3 linked regions of the Schizosaccharomyces pombe genome follow. The gene in region 1 interacts genetically with each later gene. Each region holds a gene or a part of one and is shown in the gene's direction. Other genes may lie near its edges.

Region 1 (7,775 bases):
TGATTTTTGTTCTTCAAATTTGGACCATTTATTAATATTGACGTTAAGGTTTATAGACAAGACTTGTATGTATAGACCCTTCTTGTTTTTAAATGGCTAGTACAAATCATGATTTATTTGGATCCTCATTACAGTAATCGATGACTATAGATTTATGAAACTTGTAAAAAAGTACGTCTCTTTCTTTTTCAAATCTCCCTCTTTATTTAAATCTTAAGCACTAGCTAAAAGACACTCCTGCTTTGCAATTCGTAAAGAATTTCTGTACTAACTTGGAAGATGCTAAATGAATATAAAGTGTTAGGATACTCTTTTCGCTTTCCATACGCAATGTCAATGTTCCGCAATTTGACCATCACGATTCCAATTGCTATGCTTATATACTACAAGATCAAATCTTTCGTGGACTTTTCCCGGCCAGTTTACAGTCCTTTCAAACTTTTAGTCTGCGGACTTCAGTAGTAAATTGGCTTACATTTTTACTACAAATGACTTTGGACTACAACCAAACTTGGAAAATTGCCTAACTAAAACATTTTTTCTTCATTTCCCTGTTCACATTTAATTAAATTAACTAAAAAACCAATTCAAATAATAAAATTCTGATTTGTTTATGTTTTTACCTGAAACAATTCTATGGGAGTAACATCTTGTTACCTGTTTTGAGGAAGTGAATAGGTACGGCTGTCACGGTGCGTGTACGTAACATTAACCTAAACCAGTGGCATATATATTGGTATATATATCTACTTTGCTGTGTGCTGCTAATTGATAAACCATTCCCTTCTTCTTTATTTATCTAGTGCTTAAAAGCTGTACTTCTTATCCATTTGCAAAATGTTTGGAAAAGTTTCATCGCTTTTGGTTTTTGCTTCATTCTTGATCATTCAGGGTGCTTTCGCTACTTTGGTGGCTCCCATTGGAGATCTCGAGCATTTATCTGAAATTGAATTGCTCTACAGTAAGTACATTGAGGCTATGTAAAAAGTTTGCTGTCCATCCAACTCGTGCACTTAATGTTGTATAATGTCGTAGACCGAGTTTTTGTCATTTAATCATTGTTTAAATATTTTAATATTTAAACTTTGGTATTCTTTTTACATCCCTTCTCTATTCTCTATGTCTCTGTCTTTATATTTTGTGACTATGTGAAATAGCTAACTCAGTATATTTAGCTAATCGTGTTTTGCCCTCAAAAATTCCTTTGACCCCATTTGTTAAGAGGGATGATGATTCTAGTTCAACTCAGGCAAGTTACTCTACTACTGTGAGCGATGTTGTGATTGTCACCGACAAATCTTGGTCGGATGGTGTAGAAACCATTTTGTAAGTCATGCTTGTCATTTTATGGAAACTATTTGTTTGTGTAAAATTACTAATATTATTTTTAGTCCTTATAGTTACACCGAATATCAACCATCTACTACTTACACTTCTGCACCTGCCGGATCCATTGGATACGCAGCATCCATTCCCAATACAGGGCGCGAATTGATGGAGAGTGGGTCCCCTGTCCGGTTTTCCAAGAGTTCATTATTGATTGTTTCACTCTTGAGCATTGCTGCTTTTGCCGCTTTAGTCCTTTAAAAATTCAACCGGAACCTACCCCCTAACATTCACCTGAAAATTTCTCTTTAGGGATTTTCTAAACTTAGATATAGTTTTTGATTCTACTTTACTCTTTTAAAATTTTTGTTGCTACTTACACTGTCAATTCTATATCTGCGCTCGATAACCGGTTTCTTTTTTTAGGCGCTTTGGCAAACTCGTCTCATCCCTTTAAATAAAACACACAAAGGGAGCTCTCTGTGAGAAAATTCAAAACTCTGAAGAAACATCGCTTTTACTAGTGAGGAGCCTTCTAGAAGTAACTACGAAAAGAATTTGCTTTTCTCATGGGTAAGTAAGGGTTTGCCTACAGTTGAGTGAGTCATCAGTTTCAACAAATTTCGTTCTTTTCATAAATTCATTGTTCATGTTTTATTTCTGTTTTATATGTTATTTTATTTTATTTTATTTGAAAATGTTTTTTGTTTTTCAGTTCTCTTTGGATTTATATACACTTTGAAGGACTTGTACGAAGCGTCCAGTGTATTAAAAGTAGAGCATTGGTATACAAATTGCTTTTCCGTTAAATTGCTTTATCTTTTTTTTTCGCTTGTTGCACAAGGAACTGAAATTTTACAAAACGCATCGTACTTGGAAGTTGCAAAAATCTGATGGAAGGCATAAATAAATGACTTGTTTTGTAAAGAGGATATTGCAATCCTAACGGTGGTATTTACATGCTTCTATAATTATTTTAAAACAAATAAAGTTAATTGGTCTGCTAAGCTACACATACGCGTAAACGGCATTTTGCGTTTGTCCGCAGATAATTGTCAAGATAATTATTTGTATTGTTTTGCTATATACTTCGTTTTGTAAATTGATCCATTTGAGTGCTGTTTCTTGACACGTGTAGTATAAATCCTATGTTTCAATTTAGGTCACTACAAACTTGAGCAAGTTACCACTTACAAGAGTACACCAGCACTTTTAATTTCTCTATATTAATATTCCATCTTTTTGACATTACTAAGTTAACTAATTTAATAGCTGATATGTAAAACACCATTGCAAAGAACTTTTATATATAGTGCAATCGTACGAGAAAAGGGTCTATAATTTTTGATCATTATACGACAAACCTGCGTAATGTGCCGACCGTATCGGTAGCTCTCCTTATAATATTTTATCGAACTCACGTTGTTCTGCCGCAAAAAGCTGCTGTCTTGTACCACTTGTATTTTAGGAATACGGATGATCCGAGCTGGCCACATCTACTGACTGCCAATACGACCTAACAAAGGGAATATCAAACGAAAGCATTTTTGACATCAAATTTTATTTCATTGACTTTAACGTATTTAGTGCTGTCGATTGGTTTCAATTTCGTCAAAATTTCCGCGAGGTGAAGGCGACTTTGCTCAAAGTCGTAATACCAAAATCGGCTTAGAAATCGACTTTATCAACGAAGCATTCCTTTAGTAGGGATTTTGGAATAAAAGAGATTGCGATTTATTTTGAATTTTAAAATCAACACCCTTGCTTACTACTTATCGGGATTAGATTTCTTTGACGAATTTACTACTATACTGACATTACCAAACGCCTGTATCCCCTTTCGTTTATTCAAAAAAAATTGCAACTTGTGCTTACTTTTTATTTTATTTTTTTTTTGGATTTGATTTGATTGTTCGTTCGTATTCGCTTACTGGTACACTTCCCGTTTTTGTCTTCGAATTAGTCCATAAATACGTTTTTTGTTAGATTGAAGCTTTTTTGCAGCCTCGTTACCTTATTCTTTATCATTTTCGTTATATTAAAAGAAAAGATAGAGGGAAAGCGAGCTTTTAAAAATCAGTTCATTTTTTTTTTCTACTCCAAACAGACGTTACCGAAATGTCCTGGAAACTTACAAAGAGTATGTATTCCATAATACGGGTTATCACACTCTGTCTTTCTTTTTCATACTAACAGCTTTTCGCTTTTTAGAATTAAAAGAAACTCATCTAGCATCCGCTATTGGCCTGAACTCTGGCGGCTCTAGTTTTACTAGAGGTCTGAAAAACAGTACTTTATCCTCTACTTCTTCTCGTAAATCAAGTGATGAAAAATCTCGGAAAAGCTCGGAGGATAAACGGTCTCCCCAAAGTACCGTCGTGCAGCCTGGTTTATTGCAGGTCACAATTATAGAAGCTAGAAATTTAAAATTACCGTCGGGACATGTTCCTGCCAACTACGGGGTTTCCATTGACAATTCTTTACTTGCCCCTCCACTTAGTAATGGCTCGGGACACGCAAGGTCTCGTAGTCATGCTTGGTGGTTACCTTATATCGTCGTTGAATTCGACAAAAATGAAATCTTAGTAGATGCTCTAAATACTGCAAGCCTTGAAAATCCTTGCTGGGATTATCAGGCAACTTTTGACGTTTCCCGTTATTCCAAACTCTCCCTGAATATTTACCTTCGTTCTTCATCCAGCCGCTCGCGCAACGGTATGGGGAATGACGCTTTCCTAGGCGGGATTAAACTGTCGCCTTCTTTCATTGTAAACAAGCTTACAGACGAATGGGTACCCCTGCATGGGGGTAGCGGTGAACTTCGTGTTCAAATGCTTTACAAACCCAATCAAAGTACCCCTTTAACCATTGATGCATTTGAACTATTGAAAGTGGTTGGCAAAGGCTCTTTTGGAAAAGTCATGCAAGTGCGTAAGCGTGACACTTCTCGTATCTATGCTTTAAAAACTATGAAAAAAGCCCACATTGTATCTCGCAGTGAAGTAGATCACACATTGGCTGAGAGGACAGTACTTGCTCAAGTTAATAACCCTTTTATTGTTCCATTAAAGTTCTCCTTTCAATCTCCCGGTAAGCTGTATCTTGTCCTGGCCTTTGTTAACGGTGGTGAGTTATTTCATCACTTACAAAGAGAAGGCTGTTTTGATACATATCGTGCCAAATTTTACATTGCTGAACTACTTGTTGCTTTGGAATGTTTGCATGAGTTCAACGTTATTTATCGAGACTTAAAACCGGAAAACATATTATTAGACTACACCGGTCATATTGCTTTGTGTGATTTTGGACTTTGTAAGCTAAACATGGCTAAAACCGATAGAACGAATACTTTTTGTGGCACCCCTGAATACCTCGCTCCTGAATTGCTTTTGGGTCATGGTTATACAAAAGTTGTTGACTGGTGGACTTTAGGTGTGCTACTTTACGAAATGATTACAGGACTTCCTCCTTTTTATGATGAAAATATAAACGAAATGTACCGAAAAATTCTTCAAGATCCCTTGCGATTCCCAGACAACATTGACGAGAAAGCAAAAGATTTATTGAGTGGATTGTTGACCCGCGCTCCAGAGAAGCGGCTGGGTAGTGGAGGGGCGCAAGAAATAAAAAATCACCCTTTCTTTGATGATATCGACTGGAAAAAGTTATGCGCCAAGAAGATACAGCCACCCTTTAAACCAAGCGTTGAATCAGCTATCGATACTAGTAATTTTGATTCTGAATTTACATCGGAAATCCCAATGGATAGTGTTGTTGCCGATTCTCACTTATCTGAAACCGTTCAACAAAGGTTTGCCAATTGGAGCTATCAACGACCAACAACCATTGATACATCCGACGACATTAATACAATAGCACCTGGAAGTGTCATTAGGTGATGAATTTGACACTTCTTTGTTTATTTTGAAAGTTTTCTCATTTTTACTCATACATGCCGCTTTTCTTGCCTCTTTTACATATTTGTATGTTATAAAGGCCAAAGCTTCGTTCATTTCTCATTATTGTCATCTTTTTTTGTCGTACAAGATCATTTTCTATTACTATTATTATTATCATTATTATTATTATTATTACTGACAACCTCAAGTCTTTGAAGATTATTTATTTTTTGTCAGCTGAGAAAAAGTCTCAGATATTGTTGGATGTAGTGTTTTTTGTTCTTGTAGTTTCCGAAATTACTAGTGTAGAAAATTGATGGAAAACTCTTTTTAATTATTAAGCATAAGAACGTAACGGCTATTGAAAAGGGAAAAAAAGACGGAGATGTAATTAAAGGTGAAGGGGTAATTAGTAAAATTACATTTCAAAACGTAAAGGTAATAAACAAGAGTAATATGAAAAAGGTAAAAGAAACCAGTACTTTTAGGTTGGAGCGCCAATCCACCGAGCATTATGGAAGAAGTCGTACACCTGTTCGACTTTATTAGCGTCTAAGTGTTTAAATAAATTAACTGCATCGGTTTTTTGAAATGGTTTTTTGGAAGTCAGTGAAGCCGATATTAAGGCAAATTTTAGAGCCAAAAATGGTTTAGGGAAAATCTGCAGTTTTGAGCAAAGCGCTTGCTCATCCTCTGAAAGCAGTTGCCGATCAGCGGAAGCAGAAAACATTGTGGGAGTCGCTGGTTTTCGAGGAACAATCTTTTGAATGTCACGAACTTGAAAAGGAGCGGAAGTGGTTTGGTTAAACGACTTAACATGCCTCAATTGCTTATCATATGAAGCAGAAGCTTTACTTAAGAGGAATTTTTGCGTTTTATCGCGTTCATATTTATGTCCTTGTTCGAGTGTAGTAAGACCCATCTGTCGCCATTCCTGTAAATCAGAAATTTGTTTTTTTAGGGTTATTTGCTCGTGATAGCTGTTCACGAACTTTTGGTAATCAGGGCCCGTCAAAAGTCGAGCAAATGCTTTTGTTTTATTAAGTAAGTTTCGTTCCTCTTTTGACATGCGCTTCTCATTCGCCTGTAGCCGTCGATAATCTAAAAGGTTGTGATTGAAAATGGTTTGTTTACGAACAGCCCGACGAGTAAGACGGGAATTATATATGTTAAGCATAGTCAGCTTAAGTTGCATTTCATGCTTTGCTGACTCGTGTAAATCGTCATCAAAATTCATATCCTTTATGGGCAGTTCAGCTTCGTTCATGTACTCTTGATCAAATTCAAGACGGCCCGGCATATAGCCTTGGATTTCGTGGCATTGGGGTGTAGATGCTAGAGGCTTTTGAGGAATAATCGGTGGAGGCTGAAAAGCTTCAATACGAGCTCGTTTCCGTGCCGCAAATGCTATGCGATCCACCGGTCCAGGGAGCTCTACGCTTGCTAATGGATAGCAATCCGACTCAATATAGGTTTTCAGATAATGATCCCGACATTCTTCTTTCGTCCGAGCATTTCCCACATAGTCTGCAATGTCAGCCCAGTTTCCAAGGCCCAGTGTTTCACAAGCATCGATTAGTAAGAGTTCCTCATCAGCACCCCAATTTTCGTCGAAAATAGGGTATGAATTGGTTTCAATAATCCTATACGGATGAGACGGATGGTGAGTTCCTAGGGAGGCACCAGATGTAAAGCAGGGGATGCACAAATCGAAGTCAACACATTCTACGCACCGAATATGAATGGATCTTGTTATATCTTGGGCGCAGACGTTGCAATGATACTTTTGAGGAGGCATCCTGCTTCATGTGCAAAATTTTTCGTCCCTATATGGTGGAGCAAAGTGATGATCCGATGCGTAGAATATCAAAGAAGCTTGAGTAAAATGAGAAGTAAAAGTTGGATTTCAAATATGAAAATTAGATCATTAAACTTAGAAAACTCTTTTGAATACGATTTATTAATAATGGTGGCTGAAGTTGAAGTTTTTGACTTTTCAATATCACCACCAGCAATTACTAAATACGATCGAAACGTGATTGCAATCAGAAAATAAGTTAAAATTCATTCACTGAATAGTTATTTTTGTTTAATAAAAAAATCTGTTGCGTTATATATGGTTTCTTTAACCGGAAGACGGCTTCTGTCTGTCGATAAGGTAGAATCAGAAAGAACTAACTCAGAGTATTAAAAAAACAAGAAAAAAGCAATTCCGGCTTATCAAACGAATCGATTCTGTAAAAATATCACAAAGTTGACATTTACTGGATTGAAGGTCTTTTCTTACTGCCGAAGCGAATGTTTATTTCCCTTTCTCATTTTGAAGAGCACCTGCACTGTCTTGTGCTATGCGACTAACAGGTCCAAGGTTTTTCTCTATTTATATAGCTATGATATTATAATTTCAAATACCATGTTGCCTTTTGGAACAGTTTTATTAAAAGCGTTTTATCACAATATATTAGCAGAGAAAACTATAGTAAATTTCTACGAACATTTTCACGGCTAAAAGTCATTGATTTAACATTAACGGAGTTCAATGCTAATGAA
Region 2 (5,785 bases), on another chromosome or scaffold:
GCAACAAATGGGCAAAGAAACATTTAAAGAAAGGAAAGCGTGCCAAGAACAGTAACTTTTCGAAATTTTTGAAGAAAAAGTAAATTTAAGTTCACCATTTAATATATAAACTCCGAGATCTTTTTAAGAACTAATTATCAATCTTTTTTCTCAGATTTTTTTCCTTGGGATAATTTTATTTTCAAATTTCTGGTTTTCAACTGGAGACGTTGACCGTGTTGCATAAGGATTTTGTTTGCTTTTGGGGGGTTTGGATTATTTTATATTATTCTTTATAAAAACATATTTTTTTCCAATAATGAATATTTTGTTTCAAAGACTTACTTTTTTTCACGATGAAGTTTCTATATTGTTGGAATAAGTCAATTTTTTAATTTTATTTTTTATATTTATTGTAATTAAGTACGATGTAACTAATAACGTCTCTCTGTCTCAAAAACTGCACTTTTAAATCGTGCTTTTTGCTTTGTTTACCACATGAAATAGAATTAGTAATGCTCTTGGTTGTAAAACCTGATTTTTACAGAAATGTAATAAAGTATGAATATCTAAATATTAAATTAATTTTATTTGCGTATTTTTTATCGCTTAAAATATAATTTTAGTTATTGTTTGTTTACAAAAGTGCACATGGTTATGATATGCCTTCACACATACATTCCAATATTGTTCTACCACATAAACAAATAGATTGACATTCCATCTGATTTGAACCATCTGCATTCAAAATCGCAATGGAAGAAAAGGAGAACGTAAACTTGGTGGAAAAAAGCAATTATGTTGCACTAGAGGTATGCTCTACTTTGATTACCAGAAGATGTTTGTAACGTTTCTAACCCTCAATAAACAGAACACACGAGAAATAGATGTTTTTGATGAATTCCTTAATGCAATTGGAAATGAAAACACCATTACACCGGTTTACGCCGATAGCTCATTAACTCATTTGCGCAAAAAATCGTATGTAACATAATAAATTTAACAAATTACCTATGTCACAAAGGTTCAGAGAATCCTTTGGATTATTAACGGGGTTTCTCGAAAGAAAAAAAAACATCGTCTGAACCTTTGCAGCAGTTTTGCTTTTATGCTAACTAACTTATTTTGCATGCAGCTATACTAAAGTAGTTCATGACTGTACATATGCTCTAGTCATCAATCCGTATGATAAAAAAGTGATATGGAGGAGAGGACTAGCTTATTTGCGACTTGGACATCCTCACTTAGCCAATCGTGATTGGGAGCATTCACTTGAACTGGACCCAAACAATACATACATCCAAAAATCTCTTCATAGATTAAAGGAAGTGTATTACATTTACAGAGAATGTGCAGAAACATGGCAGTTAAGACACCTTAGAGTTGCTTCTTCTCAGCAATTACCTGTAGGATTGCGAAAACAATACCCTAATATAATTCGTGGCAAGATCTGGTGGAAGAAAGTGCACGACAATTGCCAATTGTGTGGACAGCAATGCGAACTGAAAAAGGAGAATCTTTCAGCAATGCGGTCTATGCTTTACATGGCAAATACTTATGCAAAGGATGATACCGAAAATCACTCGCCCAGCGCCCAAATCGGAATAGAAAGCTCGGAGGACGAATTAGAAAATAAAATAACTAAGGGAGAACACTCTCTATTGGTCCCAGAGGAACTGTACAGATCCAATTACCCATGCCCTCAAAACATAGATCAGTTTCTTTATATGATAAAAGTCCTATCTGCCCCCTGTTTGTACATTGAAACGTTTTCATTTCCTATTTCCACAATTAATCAATTGTTCAAAGCTCATGGAATGTCGGTTGAGCAGTTAAATTTATTCTTAAAATCAATACACTATATCGGATTGTGTTCAAGGTTTTGCAAGCAATGGTCCGACAAGGCACGATCGCTGATGCAAGCGTTGAGTGGGCTGCCGTGGTTCAGTTTTGTCGTGCAACATTGTTTACATATAACGGCAGCTCAAATTCTTTTGCATATTCCTGACATCCAAGAAGAAGAATTCAGAAACTGGCATGTTTCCAAAAAACCCATCAACAATACTGATCTCTCTTCTGAATTTGAAATTGCAGAGATCCCAATCAATTGCTACACATGATAACATTGATGACAATAAATTTTTGTATGTTAAGTCAGTCCAGAAACCATCGATGCAATCATTTGGAGTAGAAGGCATTAATAACCGTGTGTAGTTTATGAATAACACATTCATTGTATATCAACCTCTTATTTTCAGTGCTGAAATAATCATTATCAACCACATGAAGCTATATATTTGTGGGCAAAGTAGAAATGTTTGCCATTTTGTTTACCGCCGGATACACCAAGCAATGAAGACAGTCATCGACCCAATACACAAGTATTGTCCGTCAAATGTTAAGTGTAATTGTTAAAGAAATTGAACAAAATGAAAGAGACAAAAAAACTTTCAAGACAGTTTTGTGTTGCACACCAATACTGCCGTTTCTCATACTCTGAGTATATGCCATGAATCGCATATTCACGATTTAATCAAAATAAAAAAGATATCCAAAATATCTACATCTCTGTTACTAAATTGCTTGTTTATTTATAACAAAGCCATTTCACAGATACACAGCCAACGTGGTAAAGCAACCCTTTTCTCATAATCGCTACAACAGCAAAAAAATATATGTCTAATGCAGGTTTTTCAATTTTCTATTATCTCTATTAACTAAACGTTCATTTCATACAATTTTATCGGTATGGCAAGGTTATGGTAGTCTACAAGTTGAAAACCGCAGAATGAATCGGCTATTATATGCTTACGATGAGGATGACGTATTCCATATGTTTGTGTTACGCTGCACACACTATGACGGTTTCCCAATACTCTTCTTTTGACCTTAGCTCTTTACATAAATTCCAGTAAAAAAGCGAAGAAAGCCGTTTTTTTGTGTTTGTTGAAAAACGATACGTTGGTCCTTTTGGTGTTTATGTTTTTGTGCTTGTATTAGAATAATAGATTGTATAGAGGCTTGTCATCGTAAAATTGTTTCAAAGGCGAACGCCAATTTTAACATTAGAGCTTGCAATTCTTTAAACGAAGCACCATTACTATTCTCTTCCTTTTTTTTGTATTGTTTTTCTTTTATTTTTTACTCTTTAGGGTGGATTTAAAGTTGGGCACCCCTGTAGGAGTATTCTAAATTTGTTGTTGTGAGAGTAGTTTATCAGGTGGATTTATATTCTTTTCGCTTTTCTTCCTAAGATCTTTAGTATCCTTATTTCCTCCCCTTTCTTTGTGAGTATATCGTATAGGAACAGTTACGTTACTGTTGTATGAATATTAGACGGAATACTGGTTCAATTTCTAAAGATGGATTCTGGGTCAAGAGTAAACGTCAACATTCAAGGGACTCGAGTTCTCAAAAACAAGCTGGGAAAAATTCCTGACATCGACATATCTACAGATGGAAAGTACTTATTATCTGCATCAACGAATGATGTTCTGTTAGTTTGGGATTTGCACACTTCCAACAAAGTTGCGTTCTTTGAAGCACCAAGCGTATGGATTATGACTTGTGCATTCTCACCCTCCACTAAGAGCATAGCAGCTGGAGGGCTGAACAACTTTTGCGTAGTATACGATACCAGTGTTCCAGATGCGGATCCGGTCGAATTGGTTGGGCATGCAGGATTTGTTTCGTGCTGTAAGTATGTCGATGACGGTCATTTGCTTACGGGTTCTGGCGATAAAACTTGCATGTTTTGGGACATAGAGCAGGCAAAAGCCATTAGCGTTTTGAAAGGTCATGAAATGGATATTGTCTCTCTAGATTTCCTACCCTCAAATCCCAATTTATTTGTTACCGGAGGCTGTGACAAATTAGCCAAGCTCTGGGACCTTCGGGCTGCTTATTGTTGTGCCACATTTCCCGGAAATACATCGGATATTAATTCCATTTCCTTTTTTCCTTCTAACGCTGATTTTGTTACGGGTGCAGAGGATGGTATCGCTCGGTGCTTTGACATTCGTGCTTCTGCTGAGATATTCCAGTATTCATCTCCATCATCCTCCCCCATTAATTCAGTCTTATTTTCCAAGTCTGGAAAACTTCTTTTTATCGCAAAAGATAAAACATGCGAGGTTTGGGATTCCATCTCAAGCAAAACCATCACATCATTAACAGGCCATGAAAATCGAATTAGCTCTTTAGCTTTAACTTCTGATGGAACAATGTTGGCAACTGGCTCTTGGGACGAATGTGTTCGTCTCTGGTCTTCGTCAGGGTAAATTAATGATTTTTTTTCTCCTTTTTTTTTTGTCTTTGGAAATGATGATGTTTGTTTTGTTTTTTTTTCTTATACATTTACGTTTTCGATTCTAGGAGGTTGACTGCTTCATGTCCCACTGGTTTATTATTTTTCTTAATTTTTTATACGTTTATGCGTGGTTTCGTGATGCTTTACTGATAATGTATTCATAAACCCTTGTGTACTAATTCCCTATTTTTTTCGTTACGTTTCTCTTTTATTTCTAAACAAAAATATACCTTTTCGAAAATTTCGCCTTGCAAAGGTTGGCGCTTTTTTATTACTATTTAATTATTGCGATTTTGTAAACGTTTAATCCTAACGATTACCCTTTAGTCTTTTTTTCTTAAAGGTATTTTTCTTCTTACGTATGATAATAAACTTTTTTATAAATGTTGTCTTGCTGTTTTTTAAAACTTATTTTTATGAAAGAACAACCCAAATATTAAATTCTTTTATTAAATAAAATTCTATGTATGTATACTACGAATTGAAAGAAACTGTAAATAGCTATAATACAAAGAGCGTAAAGTACCCGTATTCGCTCTTATTCATCTAAAAATCCCCCCATCACCGATGCCCACTCGTTAATACAAGAACCTGGCTTAGTTTCATAATCGGGTATGTTGAAGGGGCAATCACAATTACAACCATATTCTTGACCACAGTGTTGAATTGTGGAATGTTGATACCCAAGGTCTCTAAAGTAATGGACTTGAGATCGATTAAGGAGAAGACCCACTGCTAGCGAATGCACCGGAGCATCGCCCCACTAAAATAAGTTAGTAATCAGAGATAGGAAAAAAGTATGAAGAAGATTGCACTTCGAAGAACACAATGCTTTTTTTTTTTTGAATAAACTGTAAAAACATACCCTTTCAGTCCAAAATCCTCCAGCATTTTCCAATGCGTCGACATATTCATTATACTCTTTACTATTGTAAAAGTCTAAGCGTGCAATTTCGAAGTTACTCCAAAAATGGCATAGATTATAAATCTGGCCATCAATTCGGTTTAAAGGGGGCTCCGGTAAAACGTAATATCCTTGATCTTTTTGTTCTTCTTTCAGCTTTTTAATTCTCGTTTCATAGCGTTTATCAAGGAAGAAGCTCCAAAGATCGGTAGTTGGTAAATTGGATATTTTTTGATGAGCAACAGTGTACCGAAACAGATTTGGAACAGTTTTTGCAAGTTCTTTGATAGCAATAACGTATCCGTAGACTTTATTGTGCTTGTCCATGTAGTAAAATGGGTCATAAGAGATGTCACAAGAAAAAGTGACTTCCGGTTCAAGTCTCCAATACCACTCGTACTGTTGCATTAAGGGATGTTTGTAAAAGTTTCGCGAAAAGAATCTGCACATTTTATGATAACTAGGAAAGTTCGCATATACGACTCCAACTTGTTCAGCAATACTCTCATCTATCATATCCTTGTCGACATCTTTAGGGAAGTTCCATAGTTCATCATCGAGAACACCGAATTGAATAGAAGAATCCGTAGCAT
Region 3 (6,494 bases), on another chromosome or scaffold:
AAGTAACAAATAAGCAAATCTATAGCAATGTGGGAAAGGGAATACTAGAATCTGACTAAGAGTGCTGAAATTCATCAAGTGGGAAAAAATAAAATAAATACCAGTGGTTCATGGATTTAAAAGCAAAACGTATAACATCACGCAATCCAATTCTAATGTGCGGAAAAAATTTTTGAAGAGTAAACCTTACTAACTGAATGAAACAAATATTAGGAATTTTTTCGGTAAACAAATAGATAAGGGACGTGAAAACATAAAGAAAATGTTATTATTCGGGACCAGTTTCGGCTTCCAAAATTCGTACAGCTCGCTGACTTTCTTCTTCCTGTAAAGTGGCCTGCAATTCCTCCCTCTTTCTTCTACTTTTTTCTTTGTGCAAATAAAACATGCAAAGCATTAATAACAATCCTTGAAGGCATGCGCTGACAATATACATCATGTACGTAGTCCAATTAGTACCGGGCAACCTGGATAGTAAATATCCGATCAAAAATCCACCCGGAGTTTGCATCATCATCATTGGGATACTAAGGGCACCATGGCTTTGATGGCGTATAGTTTTTATGATTTGAGGAACATACTGAACGACCGCGCAGAATGAAGCGCTAAATCCAAGGAATGCTGCCCAAGCAAAGTTCGAACTAAGGACGGTTGCGGATAGACAGATGATAAACAATCCCCAAGTAAATACACCAAGTAGCCCATAAGATGCTTTTCGCCATTTACGACTTTTCGTTACACTTAAAGGCTCAGGGATTGGTAAACCATTTTCGTCATCTGCTGCAACAAAGTGAATAGGTCGAGGGAGAAACATCCAGAAAGCCATAAGAACACAACCCATAATAAGTACCTGAGAACCCACTTGAATTAAACCGGTTGTGTTAGCAAAGCATTGCTTTTTGGAATAGTAATTTTGACAGCATTCAGTTAAAGGGCTAATTTGTAGAGCAATGACATTTGAGAACGCATTAAGAACACCTATGTAACCCAAAATAAGGTAAGAAAAACTTAAGCCTTGCGAACTTCCGAGACGAACAATGCGAAAGATTTGTAACAGGTAAGAAATGATGAGGCCTATGATAATATACACTGAAAAGATAAAGCTAGCTTTTGTTGCCAAAGGGCACTTCGGTGGTGTATCATCATCAAAAATGAAACTGCTCGTGCTAAACTCCATCGTTCATACGTACTTCGTCTCCTATAATAAAATCGTAATAAAGAAATGCAATACGAAGTTAATTTCTAATGCTTTGTATAAAAATATATAAATAAACGATGCCTGGGCTGCCAATAATGGTACGATGAAGTAAAGGTTGCTAACTTTGGGGCTTATTGAACAAGCGTCACTAAGGAAAGACAATTTAAAATTTCCTTTTGAAATAATTGGTGTTTAATAAATAAGTAAAAGGAAGAATCGCCAAAAAATTGGATTTTTCATTTAATTTTGTCGAAAATGGGGAAAGGAGAGGCAGTGTAAGCTACATTAGTCGGAGGGCTTAGACACAAAGTTGTGAGCTGTAACGTATAATATTGAAATTTTGCGATATTTAAAGTGCTATAAATTTGACATTGGAGAAAATAAATAAGTAAATAAACAATGAATTATAGAAGAAGATAAAAGGAACTGAATGAATTGTATATCTTAATAAACTAGGTAAATTTTTTTCTCTTTTAAAAACATGAGTGAAATGAAATGGCGCTACACATCTAAAAATTGAAATACATCAAGACACTTTACAAAAAAATTTCTAAATTGAATCTAAAATCAAGTTCTTTTGTTTTTAACCCCATTATCTTTTTAAAGATTCTAAATAATCTAAATTAATCGTTTGAACCAAATTTTTTATAGGATATATAACTACATATTTACTTTTTAAATTCTTTTTCATCTTATCATTAAATTCCGAGATTTTTTATTCCAAACAGCAGCTAATAATTATGAAATAACTTAGTTTTTAATTCTCTTATCTTTCTTGAACTTTTCGTCATATTGCAATAAGGATACAAATAAAAAAAAAATTTATTTTTAAAAGAATCTAAGCTTGAAAAGCCATACTATTTACTCTTTTATTGATTTCGAAAATTATTAAATTAAAACCCACTAACTAACCTGTTATTGTTGACATTAAGTATAAAATTTGACTTGGCTGTTCCGTAGCTAATTGTATCATTAATGAAATGACCGAGTTTGCTAAATTAACTCGAGTATATTTTCCTGTAAAGCTTATATTTTGCTTAAATCTGACTCGTTTAACAGCTAGTTTTATTCAAGTTAACAAACATACATTTTTCGAACAGTTTGGTGCAGTCTGCCAATCTTGAACTTGGTAGCAGACAGGATGCGTAGATTATGAAACATTCTAATAAAATTTCAAATGGAATAAAGCCATTATGTTGAATTTCAAGCTTGTTCTATGGTTTAACTACTTTCCATTTTCCTTCTTTCATCAGCTACTAAACAAAAAAATTACCTTATACTTTACTAATATGCTGAAGCCTTCAATGTTTGGGCATGTGATGCAGTGGTAGCATGCTCGCTTTGCATGCGAGTCGTCCTGGGTTCAATCCCCAGCGTGTCCAATATTTTTTTGTAAACTTAGCTACTCTCAGCAAAAATTAGGCCATTCCAATCGAGAGATTTCTTGTATTATATAGTTTAATGATAATCAAATCTCGATGACTCCTCCTTCCCATGCGATGTGGCGCGTTTTTATCCCAGTTGTCATTCCTTGAAATGTTGTGTATAAAACTATGAGTAGTAAACAAACTGTTGTTACAGCTGTATGTTTTTTAACACCCAAAAACCTATCACTATCAACAACTCAAAGAAAAAGAACCCATCTTTAGGAATGCTTAGTAATTTAAGAACGGTGAGAGTTCATGATTTCTTTTTCAGCGAAAAAGTTGTTTGTTATAGAATTACTTTACCGAGATTAAACTTCGTAAAAGCGAATGAAAAGTAAAACAAGCGAAAGTATATTAAGGATATGCGGCGGGATCTCACTGTAGCACGATAGTCTTTACTCACTACTACCACTATTAAGTACGGTGCTTTTTGATCATCAATAAGCAATTCCGTCTGTATCTAAATTACTTTTGTCTGTGTATATTTAGAAGTCAAAACTTTTTGTCATAATGTCAGAAAATTACTCGTTTTCTTTGCGTAAATTTAAGTTGGTTTTTCTCGGTGAGCAGTCAGTTGGCAAAACATCGTTAATTACACGATTTATGTACGATCAGTTTGATAATACTTATCAAGTAAGTAACTATAATTAAAACTTCTTTACTAACAGGGTCCAAGGCTACTATTGGTATAGACTTTCTAAGCAAGACTATGTATTTGGAAGATCGAACGGTTCGTCTTCAACTATGGGATACTGCTGGTCAAGAACGTTTCCGTTCTTTAATTCCTTCGTATATTAGGGATTCTTCTGTTGCTATTATTGTTTACGATATCACTAGTAAGTAATAGTGGCACAGTAATTTTGCCATATATTTTTACTCAGACTTTATTTTCGAATATCTGCTAACTACTTATAGACCATAACTCTTTTGTAAATACTGAGAAATGGATTGAAGATGTTCGTGCTGAGCGGGGAGACGACGTTATAATTGTTCTCGTTGGTAATAAAACGGACTTGGCTGATAAAAGGTATGACACTCCAGCTAACAGAGATTCAGCATTTACAATGCGACATCTCTTCATTCATAATTCCAAAGCTATATTTTGGTTTTTGATGGTTCTTATGCTAACGGTGGTTTAGGCAAGTGACTCAAGAAGAAGGAGAAAAAAAGGCAAAAGAATTAAAAATAATGCACATGGAAACTAGTGCTAAAGCGGGTCACAATGTAAAACTGTTGTTTAGGAAAATTGCACAAATGTTACCAGGCATGGAGAATGTGGAAACACAAAGCACTCAAATGATTGACGTTAGCATTCAGCCTAACGAGAATGAAAGCAGCTGCAATTGCTAGTGTATCTCATTGAACATGTCAGTGTACTCTAACTGTTTCGTGAATTATTTTTTTTCGCTTCAGGCCGCAATCAGCGGTTTTTAATGTCATTTGACCCTCAAAAAGTATACTGTGAGTATATATATATCTTCTTATAGCCCCTAAATCTTTTGCACCTTTAAAGAATCGCGATTCCTTTTATACCTGTTTCCTTTTCCTTCTTTTTTTACTTGTTTTAGTCCTTTTTTATTTTAATCCTGTCTCTATGATATATGCTTTACAAAAGTGAGAAGTTGAATTTCTGAATAAGTCTCTTTCGTTTAATCCCTGCGGTGCTTCTTGACTTTTCAAGGGCATTTGCAAAGAAGGAAAAAAATTACAATGTATGATTTTGGAATTCAGAGAAATGTTATTATTTTTTTTTTTTTAGATTTCGCTTTTTCCCTTTACTCATAAGTTATTTATGCTATGTGAGTCAGTTCAAGGTTTTCATTGAAACAGTAGAACTTTATTTATACTTCAATTTTTTAATTTTATTAAAAGATATGAGGTTTTTTGCCAAAAAAAATTGAATGAACCAAAAAAAAGTTAGCGGATATAACCTCTAGGCCTGCTTTGAATTTATGTTAAGATATTTGTTTATATCAAACTCTGAAAGACTCGGTAACGTCTCACATTGAGAATCAACAATCTCATTCAGCTGATCCCCTACCAAGTTTTTGATGGCAGCATCTGGAACCCAAATGACATGCATTCCTGCAGCCTTTGCACTTTTGACACCGGGAATACTGTCTTCAAAGGCAATGCATTGGCTTGGTGTAAGTGCCTTCAAACCTCGCTGCTTCCTACTTTCATTTATTAAATTCAACACCTTCAGCCAAATGTCTGGAAAAGGTTTGCCACGACCAGGTGCAATACTAGGATTATCACCTGTAATAACATTTTTACCAAATTTCTCAAAAATATGTTTAAGATGGGCTGTCTTCATATTATAATTTGCGGTATTAGAGGAAGTAGCAAGCTGGTGATGCTGTTAGCACACTTTTATTATAGCGTAGGGATGAGTACATACCCCGATATCAATTCCATGATTGGAGAGGTTATTAATCAAAGATTCAGCCCCAGGCATAGGCTTCAAAGACGACCAAAACTTTGCCTTTCAGAAAGTTAGTTGAAATGGAAATAAATGTAGCGTATAAGTACGTACCCGAATAACCTGTTGTTCATCAACGAATTGTTGAGGAGTCATAGGAATGTTGGACCAATCTATAACAACCTTGGCAGCTGCGGAACCCGGTCTCCCTACGTATCGCAAGTTAGACCTGCAATTTTGAAAGCATTTTAAAATATCTCTTCGCTAGCTTTATATAACATACCCATCATTTGAGCCTTAACAGAAATAGGAAGAGGATCCTTGCCATACCTGTCCAATATAAGATCTATAAAAAAAATAAAGATTAGAAAACATTGTAGTTTTGTGCTAAATATAAGCACAGATATATTATTTACATACTGGTCGTCTTTGTATAAATAGTTTCACTGTCGACAAGTAGACCCTGTAAAAAGAGTGATTGTTAATGCAAAAGCTTTCATAAGAGGTAATGTGGTGTGAAAAATAAACATACATCCATATCGAATAGACAAGCCATGTATTTTACGTGTTTAGCAGCCATTTCTAGGTAAAAAGATAGTGAAGCTTCTACGACCTAACAAAACCAAAGAAAAAAAAAAGCAGAAAAAAAACTTCCGGGATATCCAAAAAATCAAGTTTCAAAAAAGTATATTGCTGTATAACCAATAAAAAAGTATAAAATCTTCCAAAACAAGAATTAACAATTAAATATACAAATACAATTAAAGAAAACAAAGACACCGACAAATGAAGTGTTAACTGTATATCTAATTAAAAAAATCCGCGAAAAACCAAAAAATAAGGACAGTTGTTAAAGATCAACAAAGAAACGTCGATACAGTAAGGCGTGATAATTAGGCAGAATGAAAAATAGCTAAATCCCAAAACTGTGCAAACTGCAATAAGTAATCAACAATCGTAGATTAGAGTAAATCCGTGTGTCGGATGATTGGGAGCAATATTGAAGAGTTCGTTAATCTGTTTTAGTGAGAATTCAACCGCACTACTGAAAGAGAATTAAGCGTTTATATTAACCATGAAATTGTAATCCGGTTTTAATGATGCCTTAAGCTGTGGTGAATTTTCCTTGTAATTTACTTATCTATATCGCGGTACCCAGGTAGTGTAAGTTAGCGATTGTTTTGGGATATTTTTCTATGAAGGTGATGAATATTTTGACACTGAGATCGTTCATTTCCAAATTGAATAATACTGGTTCTGTTAGGCTCTCATTATATATCAATGAATAATATCCAGCTGACTATAAGCAATGATGAACCTATCCTGTATCATTTATGTACAGTGAATAGAGAAATAAAACATTTGACATATTGCGATGTATAACAGAATTGAACATAGCGAACAGCTCACGCATTATTCTCGAATCAAGCAGGCAATGATTCGCCCA

The links. Genes that interact genetically often act in the same process or in processes that back each other up.
Region 2: of gad8 (region 1) and git5, extra expression of one rescues a mutant of the other (dosage rescue), as found in Schizosaccharomyces pombe (one study listed by BioGRID).
Region 3: of gad8 (region 1) and ryh1, a mutation in one rescues a mutant of the other (synthetic rescue), as found in Schizosaccharomyces pombe (2 studies listed by BioGRID, with this or other methods).

What each region holds. Positions count from the first base shown.
Region 1 is NC_003421.2:909,673-917,447, forward strand, and holds gad8 (serine/threonine protein kinase (AGC family) Gad8), read left to right. Parts: upstream 1-2,827; 5' UTR 2,828-3,444; coding exon 3,445-3,466; intron 3,467-3,537; coding exon 3,538-5,225; 3' UTR 5,226-5,566; downstream 5,567-7,775. Other genes in the region: SPOM_SPCC24B10.06 (uncharacterized protein), read left to right, coding at 838-961, 1,176-1,326, 1,392-1,587; SAGA complex subunit Ada2, read right to left, coding at 5,710-7,023. UniProt on the Schizosaccharomyces pombe protein: Involved in a signaling module for sexual development and cell growth under stressed conditions. Required for G1 arrest under nitrogen starvation and for growth at high temperature and osmolarity.
Region 2 is NC_003423.3:1,460,985-1,466,769, forward strand, and holds git5 (heterotrimeric G protein beta (WD repeat) subunit Git5), read left to right. Parts: upstream 1-2,864; 5' UTR 2,865-3,341; coding exon 3,342-4,259; 3' UTR 4,260-4,761; downstream 4,762-5,785. Other genes in the region: ribosome biogenesis protein Llp1, read left to right, coding at 1-83; mug93 (TPR repeat-containing protein), read left to right, coding at 735-791, 851-960, 1,115-2,099; putative alpha-1,2-mannosyltransferase Omh5, read right to left, coding at 4,827-5,051, 5,154-5,785. UniProt on the Schizosaccharomyces pombe protein: Beta subunit of the heterotrimeric guanine nucleotide-binding protein (G protein) involved in glucose-induced cAMP signaling.
Region 3 is NC_003424.3:1,191,678-1,198,171, reverse strand, and holds ryh1 (Rab family GTPase Ryh1), read left to right. Parts: upstream 1-3,026; 5' UTR 3,027-3,135; coding exon 3,136-3,258; exon of another isoform or gene 3,259-3,301; coding exon 3,302-3,461; intron 3,462-3,538; exon of another isoform or gene 3,539-3,540; coding exon 3,541-3,652; exon of another isoform or gene 3,653-3,764; coding exon 3,765-3,975; 3' UTR 3,976-4,558; coding exon of another isoform or gene 4,559-4,975; 3' UTR 4,976-5,026; coding exon of another isoform or gene 5,027-5,110; 3' UTR 5,111-5,161; coding exon of another isoform or gene 5,162-5,256; 3' UTR 5,257-5,330; coding exon of another isoform or gene 5,331-5,393; 3' UTR 5,394-5,467; downstream 5,468-6,494. Other genes in the region: SPOM_SPAC4C5.03 (multispanning membrane protein, CTNS/PQ domain protein), read right to left, coding at 269-1,177; pseudouridine-5'-phosphatase Pud1, read right to left, coding at 4,559-4,975, 5,027-5,110, 5,162-5,256, 5,331-5,393, 5,468-5,510, 5,580-5,627. UniProt on the Schizosaccharomyces pombe protein: Has a role in retrograde traffricking of proteins from the endosome to the Golgi. Involved in protein transport to the plasma membrane. Involved in the secretory pathway where it has a role in acid phosphatase secretion.